3 linked regions of the Canis lupus familiaris genome follow. The protein of the gene in region 1 interacts with the protein of each later gene in a biochemical or structural test. Links are inferred from orthologs where the notes say so. Each region holds a gene or a part of one and is shown in the gene's direction. Other genes may lie near its edges.

The links.
Region 2: the proteins of FOXA2 (region 1) and OTX2 form a complex in vitro, tested with the Homo sapiens proteins (2 studies listed by BioGRID). The link is inferred for Canis lupus familiaris from reciprocal best matches to the Homo sapiens genes FOXA2 and OTX2.
Region 3: the proteins of FOXA2 (region 1) and HOXA5 form a complex in vitro, tested with the Homo sapiens proteins (2 studies listed by BioGRID). The link is inferred for Canis lupus familiaris from reciprocal best matches to the Homo sapiens genes FOXA2 and HOXA5.

The regions. Positions count from the first base shown.
Region 1 is NC_049245.1:1,386,777-1,393,255, forward strand, and holds FOXA2 (hepatocyte nuclear factor 3-beta), read left to right. Parts: upstream 1-2,505; 5' UTR 2,506-2,792; coding exon 2,793-2,879; intron 2,880-3,894; coding exon 3,895-5,214; 3' UTR 5,215-5,991; downstream 5,992-6,479. UniProt on the Homo sapiens protein: Transcription factor that is involved in embryonic development, establishment of tissue-specific gene expression and regulation of gene expression in differentiated tissues.
Region 2 is NC_049229.1:32,746,436-32,752,832, reverse strand, and holds the start of OTX2 (homeobox protein OTX2), read left to right. Parts: upstream 1-2,717; 5' UTR 2,718-2,807; intron 2,808-2,955; 5' UTR 2,956-3,022; intron 3,023-6,397. UniProt on the Homo sapiens protein: Transcription factor probably involved in the development of the brain and the sense organs. Can bind to the bicoid/BCD target sequence (BTS): 5'-TCTAATCCC-3'.
Region 3 is NC_049235.1:40,411,871-40,418,422, reverse strand, and holds HOXA5 (homeobox protein Hox-A5), read left to right. Parts: upstream 1-2,404; 5' UTR 2,405-3,140; exon of another isoform or gene 3,141-3,296; 5' UTR 3,297-4,105; coding exon 4,106-5,000; intron 5,001-5,983; coding exon 5,984-6,234; 3' UTR 6,235-6,480; downstream 6,481-6,552. Other genes in the region: HOXA6 (homeobox protein Hox-A6), read left to right, coding at 474-735, 2,132-2,391. UniProt on the Homo sapiens protein: Sequence-specific transcription factor which is part of a developmental regulatory system that provides cells with specific positional identities on the anterior-posterior axis. Also binds to its own promoter.

The DNA.
Region 1 (6,479 bases):
CCGGGGAACTCCAAAGGAACGCCAACGGCGTGAGGAGAGGCCTGGGAGGAAAGGTGCCGGGCGCCCGGCTGCTGGGTTAGGAGCGCGCAGGGGTGAGGAGGGTTGGGTCCCGCCCAAGGACAGCGCAGCCGATAGGGGGCGCCCTATCACTGCGGGAGCCGGCGCGGAGCGCTCCCGGGCGAGCCCCCCCCCCGCCCCCGACCACCCATTGGGGCGAGCACCTGCGTGCCTCGCTCTCAAGCTCGCCCCTTGGGGAGGTCGCGCTCCTTCCTCCCGCGGACCTCCTCTCCCGGCTCCGCTCCTTCCTTTTGCCCAGGGAATAATTTCTAAACCCGTATTTTCGATCAGGAGCAAAAAGTGAAAGGGAAGTGGAACGCATACATGTACAGATTGGGTTCAAGTCCATACACACCAGAAAGTTGTCTGGCTTTGTTCACAGCTTTGTCTGTTTGGACGTCTCTTTTCTACTGAACACGAGAGGCGCCTCTTGGGGGGAGTGTGTTTTTGGCGTGTGTGTGTGTGCGTGTGTGTGTGGTCGCATTTCTACTCTGGGTCTATGCAGAAAGCTTTGAAAAACTTATCTTCTGAGCGTCGGTGCATACCCCGCTTTCCCAAACCCTGGGAGAAAGATTAAATTGCTCCCTTTGTATTCTGAGGCGAGATGAGAGGAGCTGAGATAAGATGAGAGCTCTGCCTTCCCAAGTATGCTCCCCAGCCCACGCATGCACTGAGTGTGCATGCACCCCACAACAGACTTTCCGGGTGCACCGGGCCGGCCTGCCTCTCAGGGAACTCTGCGCTGCGCTAGGCTTTCAAAGCCCCAGACTTTGGCTTTGGGGGATCCTGCCCTGGCACTCGTTAGGGGTGGGTTTATTAACCCACTCACTATGAACGGGTCAGTTTGCGGTTCAGCGCTGGGGTTGCTGCCTGAGACTGCATCTGGTTCAAAGCGATTCAGGCCTGAGATAACCTGGGGTGAAGAGAAGGGGTGGCTTCCCTACCTGGACTGCTCTTCCTCCCTGTACTCCTAGCCTGGCCCTCACACAGACCTTCTGTTCTTGGTGTTCAGCTCAGTGCCTGCCACCTCACCTCCGTTTTCTGACACCATTCCCATAACTTTGGACAGGTGGGCCAGATATTATTTCCTACTTCTTTAGCTCTGAGATGGGGGCCACGGGGCTGGATGCTCATGGCCCAGCATGTTTTTAGAACCAAGAAAAGAAGTTCACATCGAACACCTGTAATACCCCGAACCCTGCAATCTGGGATCCCTAGGGTATTAGTAGGTGGCCCAGAACGGATGAAAATCTGCACCCCGAAGCTGGAGCAAAAGTAAGAAGGAAGTATATGGTTGCGGAACTTCTGATTCTTCTAAAAGAGCCCCTCAAGAAAGCAGAGAACGCAGACTCTCCCGAAGTAAATTCCATGTGTCCCATTATCGATTCCTTTTTTTCCCCCTCTCTTGTCCTGCCTCACCTCCCACCTCTTGCCCTGTTTGTTTTAGTTACGAAATGCTGTGGGCACCTCGGTTGTGACTGCAAAGTAACCTTGAAACACGGCGTCCTGAATGTCAGAGACAAATAGCAGCCTCCCGACCGTCGACTGCAGCTGGCGGGGCCGAGTGCGCCCGGCGCTCTGCGACGCCCCCCCCCCCCCCCCGTCCCCGTCGGTCGTGGGAGCCGGGCTCGGAGGAGGCGAGACCCGCGGCTGCGGGACCCCGAGAGCCCCGCACGCCAGCCGGAGCCGCCCCGGGTCTGAACTGTAACAGGGAGGGGCCTCCCAGGAGCAGCGGCAGGCGAGTTCCAGGTGTGTATACAGGTTTTCTAAATACGACGGTGCTTTGCAAATTGGCTCTGTCACCGTCTTGTCGTTTTGACAGGTTATGAGCGCTGAGAATGAAGAACCCCGGGATGAGTCAATGGGGCATCTCTAAGGCTCTGCAACGGGGCTACCGGGCGCTCTGGGGCCGGGCGGGGGTCAGAGCTCCGGCCGCTCGCGGGGAGGAAGGCACCCAGGTCCCTCCTGCCACCGGCACTCCCGGCGCGCGCAAGGGTAAAGGGGGCTGGGGCAGGGAGCCCGCGCGCCCGCTCGCCCGCGCGCCCCCTCGCCGGCCCGGTACGGTGCGGGGCGCGGCGGCAGTGGGGCGGGCGCCGGGCGCGGAGGGGCAGGTGCCGGGCGCCGGCCGAGGCTCCCTCTCACCTAGGTGTGAGCTGATTATTCAAATGGGCTGCCCCGGGTCTGGGGATTGGAGGCCGGCGCCGGCGCGCCGCGCTATATCACCAGCCGCCCACGTCACTGCGGCACTTGTCCGCTCCGCGGTCCACACCTCCTCCTCCTCTCCTCCTCCACCTCCTCCACTCCTCCACCTCCTCCTGCTCCTCCTCCTCCTCCTCCTCTCCACCTCCTCCCTCTCCCCCCCACCCGCCCCCGCGCCGCGCGCTTCCCGCCGCCTCGGGGCAGCTCGGCACTGCCAACCTCGGCCTCCGCCCGGCAGCCCGCGAGCGCGGCGGCGGCGGCGGGCGGCTGGCGGCGGCGCTCCCTGCCGCGGGACTCGGGGCCGACCTCCTCTGGTCTCCGGGCCCCCTCCTCCCGTAGCTGACCCCTCCCGCCCCTTCCAACTACCGCCTCCGGCCGGCGGAGGGAGAGAGAGGGAGTGGAGCCGGAGACAGGGAGTGCGAGGAGAGAGGGAGGGAGGGGACGGTGCCTTGGCTGACTTTTTTTTTTTTTTAAGAGGGTGGGGGTGGGGGGGTGATTGCTGGTCGTTTGTTGTGGCTGTTAAATTTTAAACTGCCATGCACTCGGCTTCCAGTATGCTGGGAGCGGTGAAGATGGAAGGGCACGAGCCGTCCGACTGGAGCAGCTACTATGCCGAGCCGGAGGTAGGCACTCGCCTTTTCCAGGGGGAAGCAGGGTGGCGGCGTTCGCACCGTCTCCCAGCCTCAGGACCGCTCCTCTTGCGGGCACCCGCCCCCCACCCCCAGCCGCTCTGGGCAGCCGCCTTTTCCACCCTCCTTCGACTCAAATGGGTCTCTTTTTTATACGACACACTGTTAGCCTTGAGATAATATTAACTTTGTGATCAAATATTGACTTGCGGCGCCTCCAAATCCTCTTCGTGGCCGAGCCACGCACTATCCTAACAGAGTTATGTTTGGCAGCGCGCGGCTGGGGAGGGGTGGGAGGTCGGCCGGCGAGGGGGTGGGGAGCTGGAGAGAAGGTGGGTAGGCGTCGGGGGCCGAGGTGGAAGCAGAGTCAAAGACTAGGAACAAAGAGAAAGAAAGTTTGTGGCTGCAAAGCCCAGCCGCGTGTAGCCCAGTCCTCGGTCTCCTCCCTGCCGCTCCGCTCAGAGCCTCCAGCTGGCCCCAGACCCTGCGCGGGCACTGGGTTTCGGCTCCCCCGGGGCCAGAGATGGGGTCCCGGGGCGGGGTGGGGGGGAGGGTGAGCGGAGAGGACGCCGGGACGACCTCCGCCTGGGGCCGCCGGGCGCCCTGGGCTGGGACCCTCCGGTTGTTCACCAGGGTCGGAGGTGGCGTCCGAGGCCGCGGCGCGGACCCGGTGTGCCGGCCGGACAGTCGCGGAGGGAGGATGCGTTCGAGGTGCCCGGCCTAGGGGGGCTCCGGGGAACCCTGGCTTGAGAATCCAAGCGAGGCGCACAAGGGCTGGGATCTGGCCGCAGGCAAACGGCAGCAGCCTGCTTGCCGCCTCCTCCAGGGCGGTCCCGGCGCTCTCCGAGCGCGGCGGCCACGGCGTCCCCGACGCGGACCGGGCGAGGGAAGGGTCCCCAGAGGGCTCCCCGGAGGCAGGGCGCCCGGGCGGGCCTGGCGGGTGGGAGGGCGCGCACGCTCTCGCCGCGGTGCTAACCCTGTGCGCCTCGCTCCCGGGCTCTGTCCGCAGGGCTACTCCTCCGTGAGCAACATGAACGCCAGCCTGGGGATGAACGGCATGAACACGTACATGAGCATGTCCGCGGCCGCCATGGGCAGCGGCTCCGGCAACATGAGCGCCGGCTCCATGAATATGTCGTCGTACGTGGGCGCGGGCATGAGCCCGTCCCTGGCCGGCATGTCCCCCGGGGCGGGCGCCATGGCGAGCATGGGGGGCTCCGCCGGGGCGGCCGGCGTGGCGGGCATGGGGCCGCACCTGAGCCCCAGCCTGAGCCCGCTCGGGGGGCAGGCGGCCGGGGCCATGGGCGGCCTCGCCCCCTACGCCAACATGAACTCCATGAGCCCCATGTACGGGCAGGCGGGCCTGAGCCGCGCGCGCGACCCCAAGACGTACCGGCGCAGCTACACGCACGCCAAGCCGCCCTACTCGTACATCTCGCTCATCACCATGGCCATCCAGCAGAGCCCCAACAAGATGCTGACGCTGAGCGAGATCTACCAGTGGATCATGGACCTCTTCCCCTTCTACCGGCAGAACCAGCAGCGCTGGCAGAACTCCATCCGCCACTCGCTGTCCTTCAACGACTGCTTCCTCAAGGTGCCGCGCTCGCCCGACAAGCCCGGCAAGGGCTCCTTCTGGACCCTGCACCCCGACTCGGGCAACATGTTCGAGAACGGCTGCTACTTGCGCCGCCAGAAGCGCTTCAAGTGCGAGAAGCAGCTGGCCCTGAAGGAGGCCTCGGGGGCCGCGGGCGGGGGCAAGAAGGCGACCGCGGCGGCCCAGGCCTCGCAGGGTCAGCTCGGGGAGGCCGCCGGGCCGGCCTCTGAGACTGCGGCGGGCACCGAGTCGCCCCACTCGAGCGCCTCTCCGTGCCAGGAGCACAAGCGAGGGCCCCTGGGAGAGCTGAAGGGGACGCCGGCCGCGGCCCTGAGCCCCCCGGAGCCGGCGCCCTCGCCGGGGCAGCAGCAGCAGCAGCAGCAGCAGCAGGCGGCCGCCCACCTGCTGGGCCCTCCGCACCACCCCGGCCTGCCGCCGGAGGCCCACCTTAAGCCCGAGCACCACTACGCCTTCAACCACCCCTTCTCCATCAACAACCTCATGTCCTCGGAGCAGCAGCACCACCACAGCCACCACCACCATCAACCCCACAAAATGGACCTCAAGGCCTATGAACAGGTGATGCACTACCCTGGCTACGGTTCCCCGATGCCGGGGAGCCTGGCCATGGGCCCGGTCACGAACAAAGCCGGCCTGGACGCATCGCCCCTGGCCGCAGACACCTCCTACTACCAGGGAGTGTACTCCCGGCCCATAATGAACTCCTCTTAAGAAGACCCCGACAGCGGGCTAGCCTGGGACAGGGACAAGAGAGAGGAAATGGGGCGGAGAGTTTGAAGAAGGGGTGTTGTTGGAGAGATCCAAGGAAGAAGAAAACCATCACATCCCCACCCCCAGGACAGCAGTCTCCCCTCACCCTCTGCAGCTCTCCCTCCCAAATAGATGGGCCACACTGATATTATTCTATATAAGGAGGGAAGGCAAGAAGACAAACAGTCAAAACAAAAAACAAAAAAGAGGAAGAAAAGAGCAAAAAGCCTCCGATCTCCACTGCTGTGTAGACGCCTGCTTCTTTTAAGCATTTGCGAGTTCTGATTTTTCATTGTCATCTTCTCCTCCATTGCTGCTGTTGCAGGGAAGTCTTACTTTATTAAAACAACAACAACAACAACAACAAAACAGAAAACAAAAAAAACCCACAAACTTTTGTGAGTGACTCAGTGTAAAACCATGTAGTTTTAACAGAGAAACAGAGTTGTACTATTGTTTAAAAAGAAAAAAAAAAGATGTAAGGGTCTGTTGTAAATGACCAAGAAAAAGAAAAAAAAAATGCATTCCCATTCTTGACACGGTGAAATCCAGGTCTCGGGTCTGATTAATTTATGGTTTCTGCGTGTTTTATTTATGGCTTATAAATGTGTGTTCTGGCTGGAAGCGCCAGAGTTCCACAAATCTATATTAAAGTGTTATTGCCAGTTTTACACCTTGAATCTTCAAGATTTTTTTTTCCCTTTGCCTGACTTAAAAAATAAACAAGTCTAGATATTATTTAATGTGTGTGTGGGGGGGATCCTGGCTGGTTGCAGATTTCATTTTCTTTTGGTGAAGGGGGGCATGACAGTTGTTTTGACAACATTTTATTATTAAAACTTTCAGACATACTGAAGTTGAACAGGTTTTACAGAACACAAAGTACCCATTGCCCAGATCCTACAGTTATTGTTTCACTATACTTCCATTGGTCAATTCAGGTTATTTTTTCTAAATGCATTTCAGATGCAATCAGGTACATTCAGGGTGGTATGGCCATAGACCTGAATACATTTCAAAGTAAATTTCAGACATCAGTATACTTCCCCCTAAACAGTTCAGCAAGCTCATCATTAAATAGAATTCAATATTGTTTATGATTACTTTTGGAGTTTTGAGTTTATCTTTACACACAATGAAACACAGATCGGAGGTGGACCATTTCCTGGGTTTGACAGAGGTTTATCTTCAAAGTCAGGAGATAACTATGTATCTCAATTTCCCAT
Region 2 (6,397 bases), on another chromosome or scaffold:
TCTCTCAGATCCAATCTTTTAAGAGCTTCAGCACATTGCTAAGCTAAAGGGAAATTCTCTTTGATAAAGCGGCGTTTCCAGCTTCTGGGTTTTAAAACCTAAATCTATATTCAAATCTGGCTGAAGGTGTGTTCTGGGATTTATGAAAGCCTCTTAAAGGGGTAAATTTACCAAACCGTGACAAAATCATCACAATCTTACTTTAGACATCTGAAGTGGATGAGAATTTTAAAGAGACCCTTGTTTATTTAACACTGTCCATTTCCAACTCGTGGTTTATTGGTCCTGCATTTCTGCGAAGTTATTAGACTAAAGGGCAAAGGAGAAGCGAGAGCGGTCTGCTCCCAGCCGCTGCGAAGGGAAAAGCCCTCCCACGCCCCCACGGCGCCGAAATCTGCCCTCGTCCAACAGAACCCGGGAATTTTCAGGAAGATTCGGCTGCCCCCGCCAACTGGGAGGACAGCGCAAACCTCTGCGGAGGTCTTGCAGGTTTTCCCACAACACTGGACCCTACAGCAAATAGATCTCCCAGTCTAACATGCTTCCCTTACTTCGTGGAGATCACAAGTACGTGTTCTGAGGCTTCTCCACCCCACCCCCCACCCCCCACCCCTACTGTCCCCAAGGCCTCCCTGCGGCCCTTCCCCTTCGCCAGACGCACAACGTCCATTTTTTCTTTTCCTTCTTTGATGCTTTAAACATCATTGCGATCAAACTGGGAGAAACACTGTCTTTTCTCGGGGTGGGAAGGAGGCTCTGGCACAGGGGATCTGGGTGGATTTGGCCCTTCCTTCACCGAAAGTATCGTGACTCTGGCCAAGTGCTCCCAACCAATGGGCGAGACCGCCTAGGGCATTTGTGGCTCTCTCCTCCCTCCCCAGTTAAGGGCCGGGCGGGGGCGGGGGGCAGTCGCCAGGTGTTTCGGTACAGTGGGGGCGGGGTGAGAAAAAAAAAAAAAAGGTCTATACTCACCCTCCCCCCCCAGCCCGGGACCCCAGAAAGTCGCGACTCCTGGGACCGCGACAGCCAGCGGGTCTCTCCGGACTGGAGCGGGCGCTGAGGGTTCGGGAGTTGCTGGGCAGACCCCGGGCCGCTCGGGGGCTCGTTGGGACGCGGGGGCCCAAAGCTCTAGAGACACCTGCGAGGCTGGCCGCGGCCACCGAGCGCCCAGCCCCAGGCCGAGCCGCAGCCGGAGCCCAGCCGCGCTGCCGAGCGCTCGCTGCCTCGTGCGCACTCCCGTAATTCGTTAATTGCTGTAAATCCCAAGGACGGCCACATTTGATTACACATACAGTATAAGAACCGACAACAAAGCGACGAATTAATTACCAACTTCATTAACATAGGTCCCCAAATTAAAGGCAGCGAGCTGTTTCTTTGGGCCCACTTGCCGTGGTGGTGGTGGTGGTGGTGGTGGTGGTGGTGGTGGAGGAAGGGGGAGGGTGTTTAGAAAGAGATTTTATTTTTCTTCTCCGGCAGTGGGAGTCATGAGGGCAGAGATGTCTTCTGCTCCCCCCACCCACCACCCCTCCACCCTCAGCCGGTCCTCTGGTGCACCCCCCCCCCATTCCCTCCGCCCAATCTGCTTTTCTAGGGACTCAGATGGGTTTGGAAGCTGTCGGGTCCCGCTCTCTGTGCCAGGCATTAAAGTTAGGCTGGGGCTCGCTCCCTGGCTCGGGTCCCCTGGTGCCGCCAGTCTCCCGCCTCCGGGCTCTCGGCCCCCGGCTCGGGCCGCGCGGGCTCTTAGCTCCAGGCCCCGCCGCCGGCCAGTGAGGAGCGTTTGTCTTAACGTGGAGCCGTTTCCAGCGCGGGCCTCCTGCGTTCGCGCCCTCCCCGGGTGCCCGGCCGACCCCTCTTCCTGACCTGGCTCCCGCCGTCTCCCCAAACCGGCCCTGGGGTCAGACGCCCCGGTGGTGTGCCCGGCAGCCTGCCTTGGGCTCCTGCAAACTCTTAAAATCCTGTGCGGGTAACAGGAGCCCGAGGCGCTCGCTTCGGGGACCGGGGAATATCGATAAGGGCGCAACGAGTGGGAGAGACCCTGAGTTTCTGAAAATAGTTTGTGATTGGACTTGTGCATCCGTCTTTCCCTTGCCTACACGCCCAACGCTGGCTCCCAGGCCGCCTTCTTTCCCCCTTTCTGGCCCTCAGCGTGCTCTGACCCTGGTTAAACCGGCGTCGTGGCCGTTTTAGGCTTCAGCCCGACTTGCTCTCTGCGTCTGACCCACACGCTCACCGCCGGCGTTGCAGGCGATAACCCAGCTACTGCTCCACCCTCGCTCTTCTCCAGCATTTACCTAAACATTTTTATCTTTCCATCTTATTGTATGGGTTTCCTTTTTCCCCTTCCCGAAAATCAAAATAAAACAAAAAGGGAGGGGGGGGGGAGAAAGGAAAGGAAGGAAAAGAAGAAAAGGAGAAGAAAGGTAAGGGAGGCCTCCCTGTCCATCATTTTAATTATACAATTAGTTCACATGCTCCGGCCCATAATGTATATTTTAAGCGGAGCCCAGTGTCTTTCAAGAACATTCTGGTAATGTCGGAGGCCTGGATTTGTTGCCCGCTCGTCCCCCCGTGCAGCAGCGGCCTGTTTTCCTCCCCCTGTTGTGTGTTTTTATTATTTTCCCTCTGGCTTAGATGTGTCAATCATTCTCTCCCTGCCATTGGTTGGAGAGTTTGCGTCAAAAAGTTGCCAGAGAGGCGCTTTCTCAGCAAATCTCCCTGAGAGCGGAACCGACCTCAGCTCCAACTCAGCCTCCACTGTTATTAAAAATAAAAATCGCTAGAGCAGCCCTCATCACGTCTACTTTGTATGTATCCCAGAGGGGCCCACGCGTGTTTCGAACTCGAGCTACTTTCCTCATTTTCTATTCTTTAAATTTTTTTTTCGTTGTTTGACTTTTCATGGAGGGTTGAAGACTGCAAGATTTCTAACTCAATACTCTTGATTTCTTTTAGGATAGCGGGCTATTTGGAATTTTGAAGGATAATTAAATTTTTTTCTAACTTCCCATGCGGCCGTAAGGTAAGTGTCCGTCTGTCTTGTCTGCCTGTCTACACCCATGTGTTCCTCTGACTACCATCGCCCCACTACCTCCAATAGACCGACTAAAGCACACTTCTGGGAACGTGGAGTTCTTCTGAAGCATGTTGTATTTTTCTCCCTCGTAAATGTTTTTAGGTGTAGTAACGATCATTGCGAAAAATGTGTGATCTGGAGGTGAGGGCGGGAGTGAGAGGAGGGGAGGCAGCGCGCTCCTGGGGTCGCCGCTTCCGCCAAACGTCGTGGAAACCCTGCGAGGCTAATGTGGGGTGTTCTGGACGGGTTTTGTTTGTGGTTTTGTTTTATGTCAACGCCCATTCTGGGCTTCTCCCTGCTAATTTTGCGTTTTGGCTCTCAGATGTGGCTGGGTCATTTGTACCGATCTCAAGGACATTTTCAGAGTCAGACAAAACGCTGCAGATGTAGCTAGATGGATGGGTAATGATGATGGTGGTGGTGGTGGTGATAAGACAGGCGTCTTCTAGGGCCCGCGTGCCCGTAGCCCGACTCGCTCTCCGATTGCCGGGTGAGGACGGTCGCAGCTCGAGCCCTCGCCTGCCCCTACTGAACGGGAGGGGAAACCCGAGCGGATAACCGAGGAGGCTCGCCGCTCTTTCCGGGGCCCTCTCCCGGAGCCCAGAGCAGCTCCCTGCGATTCGCCCTCCGTCCTCCTTTTCCTTTTTGATCACCACTTGTCTCCTCCCAGAATAACCTGGGAGTGCGGGAACTCCCCCACCGCCGGCTGTCGTGGTCCCAGCCCCGGGTCACCAGGCCGGGCGAGAGCTGTTTGCCCGGGATGGTTACCGGCCCGCGCGGGGCAGCCGTCCGCGGGCATCCGGGGCTGGCCGAAGTGTTGGGGAGTGGCCCCTGCTGCGCCCGAGGCCGCGGCGGGCCGGGGGACAGGAAGCCTCACCTTGGGGCAGGCGGCCCCTCCGCCCTCTGGCCTGGGGGCAGCGCCGGGGCCTGCGTGCGCGCTCGCGCGCTCCCCTCCCAGGCTCGGGGACAGCCGGCTGCCGTGGGGCCGGGCGGGGGTCGAGGGGGTGCACCCCGAGGCCCAGCCCTCCGTTCTCGGTCCACCCAGGGAGAACCATCAGGTCTCCACCAGCAGCCAGCCTCGGCGACGTGTTCCGCCGCCAACTGCAAAGAGGTCTTCCCGCTGATGCGTTCAGGGGCCTCTTGGAATCACGGTCCGACTTCGGAACGCATCTTTCTGAAATCGAAGTCCCCGGTCAGAACTCCCACCGAGCTGGCTTTTTCCTCCGGTGCAGACAGTGGTGGGCTGTGGGGACAGAAGGCCGAGCTGCGTTGGCCCTGGAGTGCTGGGGGACTTGGGGAGGGCACGGGGCAAGTCGGATCCTTGAACACCCCCCACCCCACCCCACCCCACCTCGGTCCTAGAGCTGCGGGTCCGGATTTCTCGCTCCCGCTCACTTCGGGACTTTTTCCAGGCACCAAAAGTTATTAGCACAGGAGGCGAGTTGGAGAGCAAACTCCTCCCCCCAAAGGAAGGTAGACACCCAGACCTCTCCTCTCCGAGCTAACACTGGGGCTTTCTCCTCACCATAATTAATAGTCAAGGCCAACCCTTTTGGCACGTTTCTTCCTCCCTCCCTCGCGGGTGGCAGCGCTGTTCGATTCCCCGAGGCCAGAAACTTTCCCTCGAGTTCGCCCGAGAGGGAGGCCCGCGCCGGCCGCCTCCGCGGTGCCCGCATCTCTCCTCTTTCTTCTCTCCTGCCTTGCGCTCTCTCCCGAGCCACAGGCCAGTCGCCAGTCCGCGTAGTTTTGTTTCTTTTCCATCATGCAGAAAATTAATCAGCCCGGACGAGAAGCAGAGCTGAGCACGGCGGCCTGTAATTAAGGGACGTGTGCCCCTCGGATTATCTCGTTAGTTTATCAAGAAAACATTTATTATAATTAATTCTTGGACGAGGTAATTATTATTGAGCGAGGACACAGCAACTGGTAGATGGGCTCCTTGGAAGGAAAAAAAAAAAAAACCAACAAGCGGGGCGGGGGGTGGGGGAGATGCGGGGGAGGTGGGGGGAGAGCGACAGATTGCACGAATTGACCGTTAGATATAAGGCGGCGCGGGCCGGGGCGGGCAGTGGAGCCGGACCCGGGGCGCCAGGACTGCGGGGCTGCCGCGCGGGGACGCCGGACCGAGGCATCGCGCCCGGACTTGCGGCGCCCGCCGGCCGCGGGCACTCGCCGAACCACCGTCACCCGCTCCCGTAGGTAGGAGTTCTCCAGCCGCCACCTCCTGAGCGATCATATGGAAGCTTGTAGCTTTGAAAGGGTCTTTCTGTCCCCCTTCTAGGCTCGGCTTAGAGAGGAAGGGAGAAAGGTGTCCATTTGGGGCTTTGGAAGTTAGATGGAAGGGCCCATGGCCTCTTCTTTGGAGAGTGCATACCTAGGCCGGCTGCTGAGAGTACTTAGTTTTGTTTGGGGGTATGTCTCTTTCTCTTTCAAAGATGCAATCCAGTAGTAAAAGCGAAAAACTGTTTACTCCTAAATTTTAGTGTTATTTGCGTTGGTAAGGGCACAGGAGCTCCAAGAAGGATCTTTGCCTGGTGCTTTCTATCTGCTACTGCCTTTTATGTTGGAATGTGCCACTTTCTGTAACAGACATTTCTAATTGGGTGAGAATTCTACATGTAAAAACAATTGCGTGTGTCTCATGTGTACATCTGCTATGATTTTAGTTTTTTCTACAGTAGTTCAGAACTTTCCAATGTAGTAGGATTGTATTAAGAGAGAACTCCAGCTCAGAGGCTATTTAGACAAATAAAATGACTGTATTTTAAAGCAATATTATTTTCACAGCCTCCAAATAACTGTCTTGAAAAGAGAGTAGAAAATATCAAGTCTTTGTTATAGGATCTACATTAGTTTTGCTGATAAGATAGTACAAATTCCCCCAAAAGGGGTATTTATAAAATTACATTAAATCAGATCTGAGGGTGGAAAAGCATGTTTTTTGTGCTATGAATTTAAAGCAGGAAGAAGTTAGAGTAACTGGGTTCCATTTGTGGACTTTTGTGTCTTGATTTCTAAAGCAATGTAAATATGAAAATCCAATGCTGAAAACTCAGTAGGACCTTTGTCAAAGTAAGAGGCAACTTCTCCTAATCTTGTATCCGCCATTTTGAAGCAATCTCTCATAGTGTCAAAGTTGCAAAGTAGAGATCCTTGCAGGATAAGTGCCATTTTTTAGGCAAATAAAAGCCAGACTTGAAAACTGTCAGCCCATATTAACATCCAGTTTGGATCCCTTTGCTTGGGGCAGTGAGAGACGCTCAGCTGAAGACAGTAAATAACTTTTCTTTTTCCTTCCTTTCTTTTGCTTCCCTGAGCTCT
Region 3 (6,552 bases), on another chromosome or scaffold:
GTTCGGGAGGAGAGCCGGGCCGGCTGGCTGTGCGCGCCCATCAATCTGCCGGGCCGGCGGCGGGCGGGCGGGCTGGGGGCTGTTTGTAACTTTGCTGCCTCGGTCGCCGCGGTCCCCGGGGAGCGGGCTCCAGCGCTCGCTCCCATTGGCCGCCGCCGCGTCAGCTGGTGCGATTTGCTGCTGTCGCTTTTGGCGTTCGGCCATCCAGAAACAAACCAGTTCGATGACTACTAATAGTTATAGCCAGATGTACTAATACACAACAAATCACAGTCCTGCAGAGGGGCGCGCAAATGAGTTCCTATTTTGTGAATCCCACTTTCCCCGGGAGCCTGCCCAGCGGCCAGGACTCCTTCTTGGGCCAGCTGCCCCTCTACCCGGCCGGCTATGACGCGCTGAGGCCCTTCCCGGCCTCGTACGGGGCGTCGAGCCTCCCGGACAAGACGTACACCTCACCTTGTTTCTACCAACAGTCCAACTCGGTCCTGGCCTGCAACCGGGCGTCCTACGAGTACGGGGCCTCGTGTTTCTATTCTGATAAGGACCTCAGTGGCGCCTCGCCCTCGGGCAGTGGCAAGCAGAGGGGCCCCGGGGACTACCTGCACTTTTCTCCCGAGCAGCAGTACAAACCCGACAGCAGCAGCGTGCCGGGCAAAGCCCTCCATGACGAAGGCACCGACCGGAAGTACACGAGCCCCGTTTACCCCTGGATGCAGCGGATGAACTCCTGCGCGGGTAAGGCATTTCCCTGCAGCCCCCCCAGGAGAGTGGAGGGAGACGGGGAAAGGAGGAAGGAAGGCGGAGACAGAGAAAGTAGAAGGAGGAAATAGAAAGAGAGGAGGAAAGACTGAACAAAGTTTCTTTGGCTTTTTTAAGAGATTAAAAACAAAAACAAAAACAAACAACCCCAACCCATGCCCAGTGAGGCAATCAAGCTGTGGCCGTGTGAAGGCTCGGCACTAGTATCCTTGTAAGGTGACACCTTAGGGAATCGAGAGGGGTCACTGCCACTCTATGTGAGACTCAGTGACAGGGGCAACCTGAACAGAGAGCTAGGCTGGGTGGGAGGGAGTGCCTGCCCACACTTCACCCTGGTAATAACACCCTGCTCAGATCCCCAAGCAGAGATGGCCTTCTGCACCCACCATTGATAACTCCCTTTCACTCCCCAACCCCTCTCCTTTCTGCCTTTCAGAAATCCATATAGATTAAAGGCTCTCACTAGTGTCTCCCTAAAGCCTTGGAGGGCCACATCCCCAGCCTCAGGATTTTTTCTCTTTCCCCTCCCTCCCCTCCTCCCCCTTCCACTCAACTGCTCACTCTTAGCCAACTTGTGCCTCCTTTTGAGGCCCTGCCTGAGTCTCACACACCCAGCTTGGGGGGGGGGGGGAGCCCCCCACCCATGGGCTCCTTTGGCACCAGAACAGATAGCCCATCACAGTCCTACATTTCCAGAAACCCCAGATGGCCCATCGCTCCATCCCTTTGCCTCTGGTTTCCGAAAACTCGACAGAGAATCCTTGGAGCAGGGCAGAGCCTAGTGCAGATTTTTAGACTGATAGTGTTTTGCTTTAAGATCCACTTTTTTTTTTCCAAGAGAGTGCTGTATTTCTCAGAAGGGCCATACAGTTTGGGGGAGTTTGCAAAGATTTGAGAGGGCTAACCATTTTTCATCTTCCAAAAAACCCCCATGTTGAGTCCTGACATGTGTGGCCACAGTAACACCTTCACAGAAATCCGTGTGTGAATTCCTAGGGTCCAACCTACTTCCAGGGTTCCGCACCCATCCCTTCCAGACACACACAGACTACACTCCCACAAAAGCACAACTCAGGTACCCTGAATTAAGCAGCTCATTCTCTTATTTTGCTTGTAATGGTTTTCTGACTGAGCAGATTTTCCAAAAAAACAATAACTTCTCACTCCAAATTGTTTTAGGTGGAAAACATCTCGCTTGGTAGGAAATAATCTTCTCCCATCCGGCCGGCTTTTGGCCTTAGACATAGCGAAAGAGGCTGGAGCGGAGGCGAGTGGGCTTCCAGTTTAGAGGCCAGGGGCGCGGGGCGCGGGTCTGACTGGTTCGGCTGCCGGGATCCTGGCTCACCGGGCGCCCGGCCATTTCTGCCCGCAGGTGCTGTGTATGGGAGTCACGGGCGCCGAGGCCGCCAGACCTACACGCGCTACCAGACGCTGGAGCTGGAGAAGGAGTTCCACTTCAACCGCTACCTGACGCGGCGCCGCCGCATCGAGATCGCCAACGCGCTCTGCCTCACCGAGCGCCAGATCAAGATCTGGTTCCAGAACCGCCGCATGAAGTGGAAAAAGGAAAATAAACTCATCAATTCCACACAGCCCAGCGGGGAGGACGCGGAGGCAAAGGCTGGCGAGTAGACGCCTGGGCAGGGACCAGGCCAGCGCCGCAACCTCCCTCGGCTTTGCCCCCTTGCCTTCGCCTGCTCCCCAACTTTTCTCCCCCGCCTGCTCCTCCGGGGGGCTTCCGCAGCTTCAGGGGAGTTGGGAGCTTTGCAAACGCCTGAGCATTTATTTCTTACCAAAAAAATAATAATAATAATAATAATAATACTACACACAGCCAATCCCAGCGGTGGAGCAGGGCGCACTGCACACACAGTCCCGCTCTCCAAGGCTGCCCTAGCCGGCTCCGGATCCCGGGGCGCGCCCCGAATTCGTCCCTGGCTCTTGTGCTATATTGCGCCTTTGCGTGCTCCTGAGCTCGGGGACGCGGGATTGCTGGAGAGGAAAGAACCCGGGGCCGAGCCCCTTTCGGTGGGTGTCTGGGCGTTTCCGCCTCGGTCCCTCGCCACCAAGTCCCGGAGGGTACCACCAAATCGACTCGGGCCACTGGAAAGAGGGGGCCTAAAGGCCGGGGCCCCAGCACTGCAGTGGCATTCCAGGCCGCTCCTAGACAGGAAGAAGCGTAAGGAACAAAGGGGGCCCTGAGACAGCCTAGTCTCTCGGCCCCGCGCGCGCAACCGTCCGTGGAAGAGAAGCAGCCTCAGCCGAGCCGCCGCAACCTGGGCGCGGGTGGAACTTTACAGCCCCCGGAGAGCCTGGGCTCCCGAAGGCTCCAGCTCCGGATCCCGGACCCCGCCTCCGATGGTGCCTGCGCTGCTACCAGGGTAGCTTTCAGGACCAAAGGAAGGGGCTCGGGGCCATGGGGCAAGAGTCCTGGTTTCCAAATGTGCCAGGGGTGCCTGCGACGCTCAGCCTCCAGCGGGAAGTCCCCACCCCCCCATGCCTTTCGGCTATATTCGTGATCTACTTTCGTCTTTCAGGACCCAGGAAAATACGAAGCTACTAGGCACTGGCACGAAATGCTTCCATTAGCACCCTCATTTTACTCCTGGAGGTCTAAGCAAGACGCTCATACCTCGGCCCAAGGATCCCCAGCCTCCAAGCAGCTTCTGTGGCTGCGGGGAGGCTGGGCCCACTGGCTGGGTTCACAGAGAACCCTCCGACTTGGGGCCCGGCTGCCTCCAGGAAAGGGACCTGGTGGTGAAGATTCTCCGGATTGGATACTTAAAGCAAATCAAATAGCGAACTAATGACACGAAAACCATATTTACACGAAAGAAAAATCGACTCCGGTTATAAAAGTGTATGGAATTTGACCTCGCCTCGGAGAAACACTACACAAAAGCTATCTTTAATAGACGCCTGTCATTTAAGAGCGGCAGGGACACTGTCCCTCATGCACTCACAGAAAAACAGAGCCGTAATTGTAGCTGCTGCTGCGGGCAGGATTTATTTCTCCAATTGGCTAAATGGCCTCCCCCCTTCCCCGAAGGTGATATCTGTATTTTCAAATTTCAGAGCTGCCGGCACGACGGGCAGAACCGACCCCAACCTCGACACAAAAATAAGAGGGGCTGCACAGCGGGGAAATAAAGTTGTTGTAAATAAAATCCAAGTCACCATCTCCCCCCAATCCTCTGCATCCTCGCCGGGCGCGCGATCGGCAGCTGACGGCCTCACAATTGGTACATCCTAATGGAACTGCGAGGGAAATGCAATAATTTTGCCATAATGGGCTGTAACCTCAATTCGACCCCGGCCCTTGCAGCCCTGGGTCGGAAGCGGAGCGATGCGCCCTGCCTCCAGCGGGTGGCGCTCGAGTCCGACTGAACGGCGGCGGCGGGTGGCGGGCACGCGCCTGCGGCGCGCGCGCCACCCCTCTCGCCTCCACCCAACTCCCCCATTAGTGCACGAGTTTACCTCTAGAGGTCATCAGGCAGGATTTACGACTGGACAACAAAAGCACGTGATTCGAAGTCGTACCCCATATTTGGGTGCCTACGTAGGAGGGAACCAAGTACATGTCCCAGTCATTTCCATAATTCATCATAAATTGTGCAAGGGTGCTATAGACGCACAAACGACCGCGAGCCACAAATCAAGCACACATATCAAAAAACAAATGAGCTCTTATTTTGTAAACTCATTTTGCGGTCGCTATCCAAATGGCCCGGACTACCAGTTGCATAATTATGGAGATCATAGTTCCGTGAGCGAGCAATTCAGGGACTCGGCGAGCATGCACTCCGGCAGGTACGGCTACGGCTACAATGGCATGGATCTCAGCGTCGGCCGCTCAGGCTCCGGCCACTTTGGCTCCGGGGAGCGCGCCCGCAGCTACGCGGCCGGCGCCAGCGCGGCGCCCGCCGAGCCCAGGTACAGCCAGCCGGCCACGTCCACGCACTCGCCTCCGCCCGACCCGCTGCCCTGCTCCGCCGTGGCCCCCTCGCCCGGCAGCGACAGCCACCACGGCGGGAAAAACTCCCTGGGCAACTCCAGCGGCGCCTCGGCCAACGCCGGCAGCACCCACATCAGCAGCAGAGAGGGGGTTGGCACGGCGTCCGGAGCCGAGGAGGACGCCCCCGCCAGCAGCGAGCAGGCGAGCGCGCAGAGCGAGCCGAGCCCGGCGCCGCCCGCCCAACCCCAGATCTACCCCTGGATGCGCAAGCTGCACATAAGTCATGGTAAAGCCAGCCTTTTTCTAAATCCACGCGGCCGCGGGGGCGCGGCTCTCGGTCCCCCCTCTCTTCTTTACCGCCCTCTCTTCCCGTCTGTCTCCTGGTCTCGCCTCTCCCAGCCCTGTGGAGTCTCTCCCCGCCGTTCCCTTCCCCTGCCTTCCTCCTTTCACCTTCTCTTCTCTGCAGCGCCCAAAGCTCGCAGACGGGGAGGGATGGGGGTGGGGGAGAAGGGCCGCTGGCCAGGCAAGTTTAGATGTTGAAACGGGGGGGTGGGGAGGAAAAATCCCATATCGAACCCCAGCGCCTCGGAACGCGCTCCCGGGTCAGGCCAGCCGAGCAGGGCGCAGAGAGGTAGAGGATGGCAGTAGGGGCCGTGAATTGGGCTTGTCAGGGCGGATAATTTATGAGGAGGGCTACGCTGGGGAAACAGCGTTACTAATTAGAGTCCCCGAAAAGGGGCTTGGGGGGGGGGAATAATCGAGGCGAGAGCCGGCGGGATTCTGAAGTTTGGGAGCAGAAGGGACAGCAGAAAGGGGAAGAAAAAGAAAGCAGGCGCCCCAAGCGTGCAGGCTGGAACAGAAGGCGGCTCGCGGGGCTGGAACTTTAGGGGAGGGTGACCTGGAGGCCACTTGGGCGCTCAGGAAAGGGCCTTGCTTCCGTGGGTTTCTGAGAGGTGGGCTGCCTGGGAGGGCAGTGCCCCGCCTCGGGACGCCAGGGGCAGGGCCAGAGGGCAGGAGAGGGGTGAAGGAAAGCCGGGCGATCCTCCGGGACGCGGCTCCAGCCTCAGATGGGCCGATTGTTCCCAGAGTCCAAACTGTATTGTGTTCTCTCTAGAAAGGAAGAGGGAAGGAAATTCGGGAGGGGTGGGCCGGCGAGCAGGGAGGACTTGTTGAGCGTTTCTCCCCCGCTCCCTGCTCAGGACCCCAGCTCGACTTGGGCACCCGGGGGCTGCGGAGTTGGTGGCTAAATCGCTGACTTTTCTGTTGCAGACAACATAGGCGGCCCGGAAGGCAAGAGAGCCCGGACGGCCTACACGCGCTACCAGACTCTGGAGCTGGAGAAGGAGTTCCACTTCAACCGCTACCTGACCCGCCGAAGAAGGATTGAAATAGCACATGCTCTTTGCCTCTCCGAGAGACAAATTAAAATCTGGTTCCAAAACCGGAGAATGAAATGGAAAAAGGATAATAAGCTGAAAAGCATGAGCATGGCGGCGGCGGGAGGGGCCTTCCGCCCCTGAGTATTTGAGCGTTTAAAGTACTGAGCAGTATTAGCGGATCCCGCGTAGTGTCAGTACTAAGGTGACTTTCTGAAACTCCCTTGTGTTCCTTCTGTGAAGAAGCCCTGTTCTCGTTGCCCTAATTCATCTTTTAATCATGAGCCTGTTTATTGCCATTATAGCGCCTGTATAAGTAGATCTGCTTTCTGTTCATCTCTTTGTCCTGAATGGCTTTGTCTTGAAAAAAAAAATAGATGTTTTAACTTATTTATATGAAGCAAGCTGTGTTACTTGAAGTAACTATAACAAAAAAGAGAAAAAAACACACAAAAAAGTCCC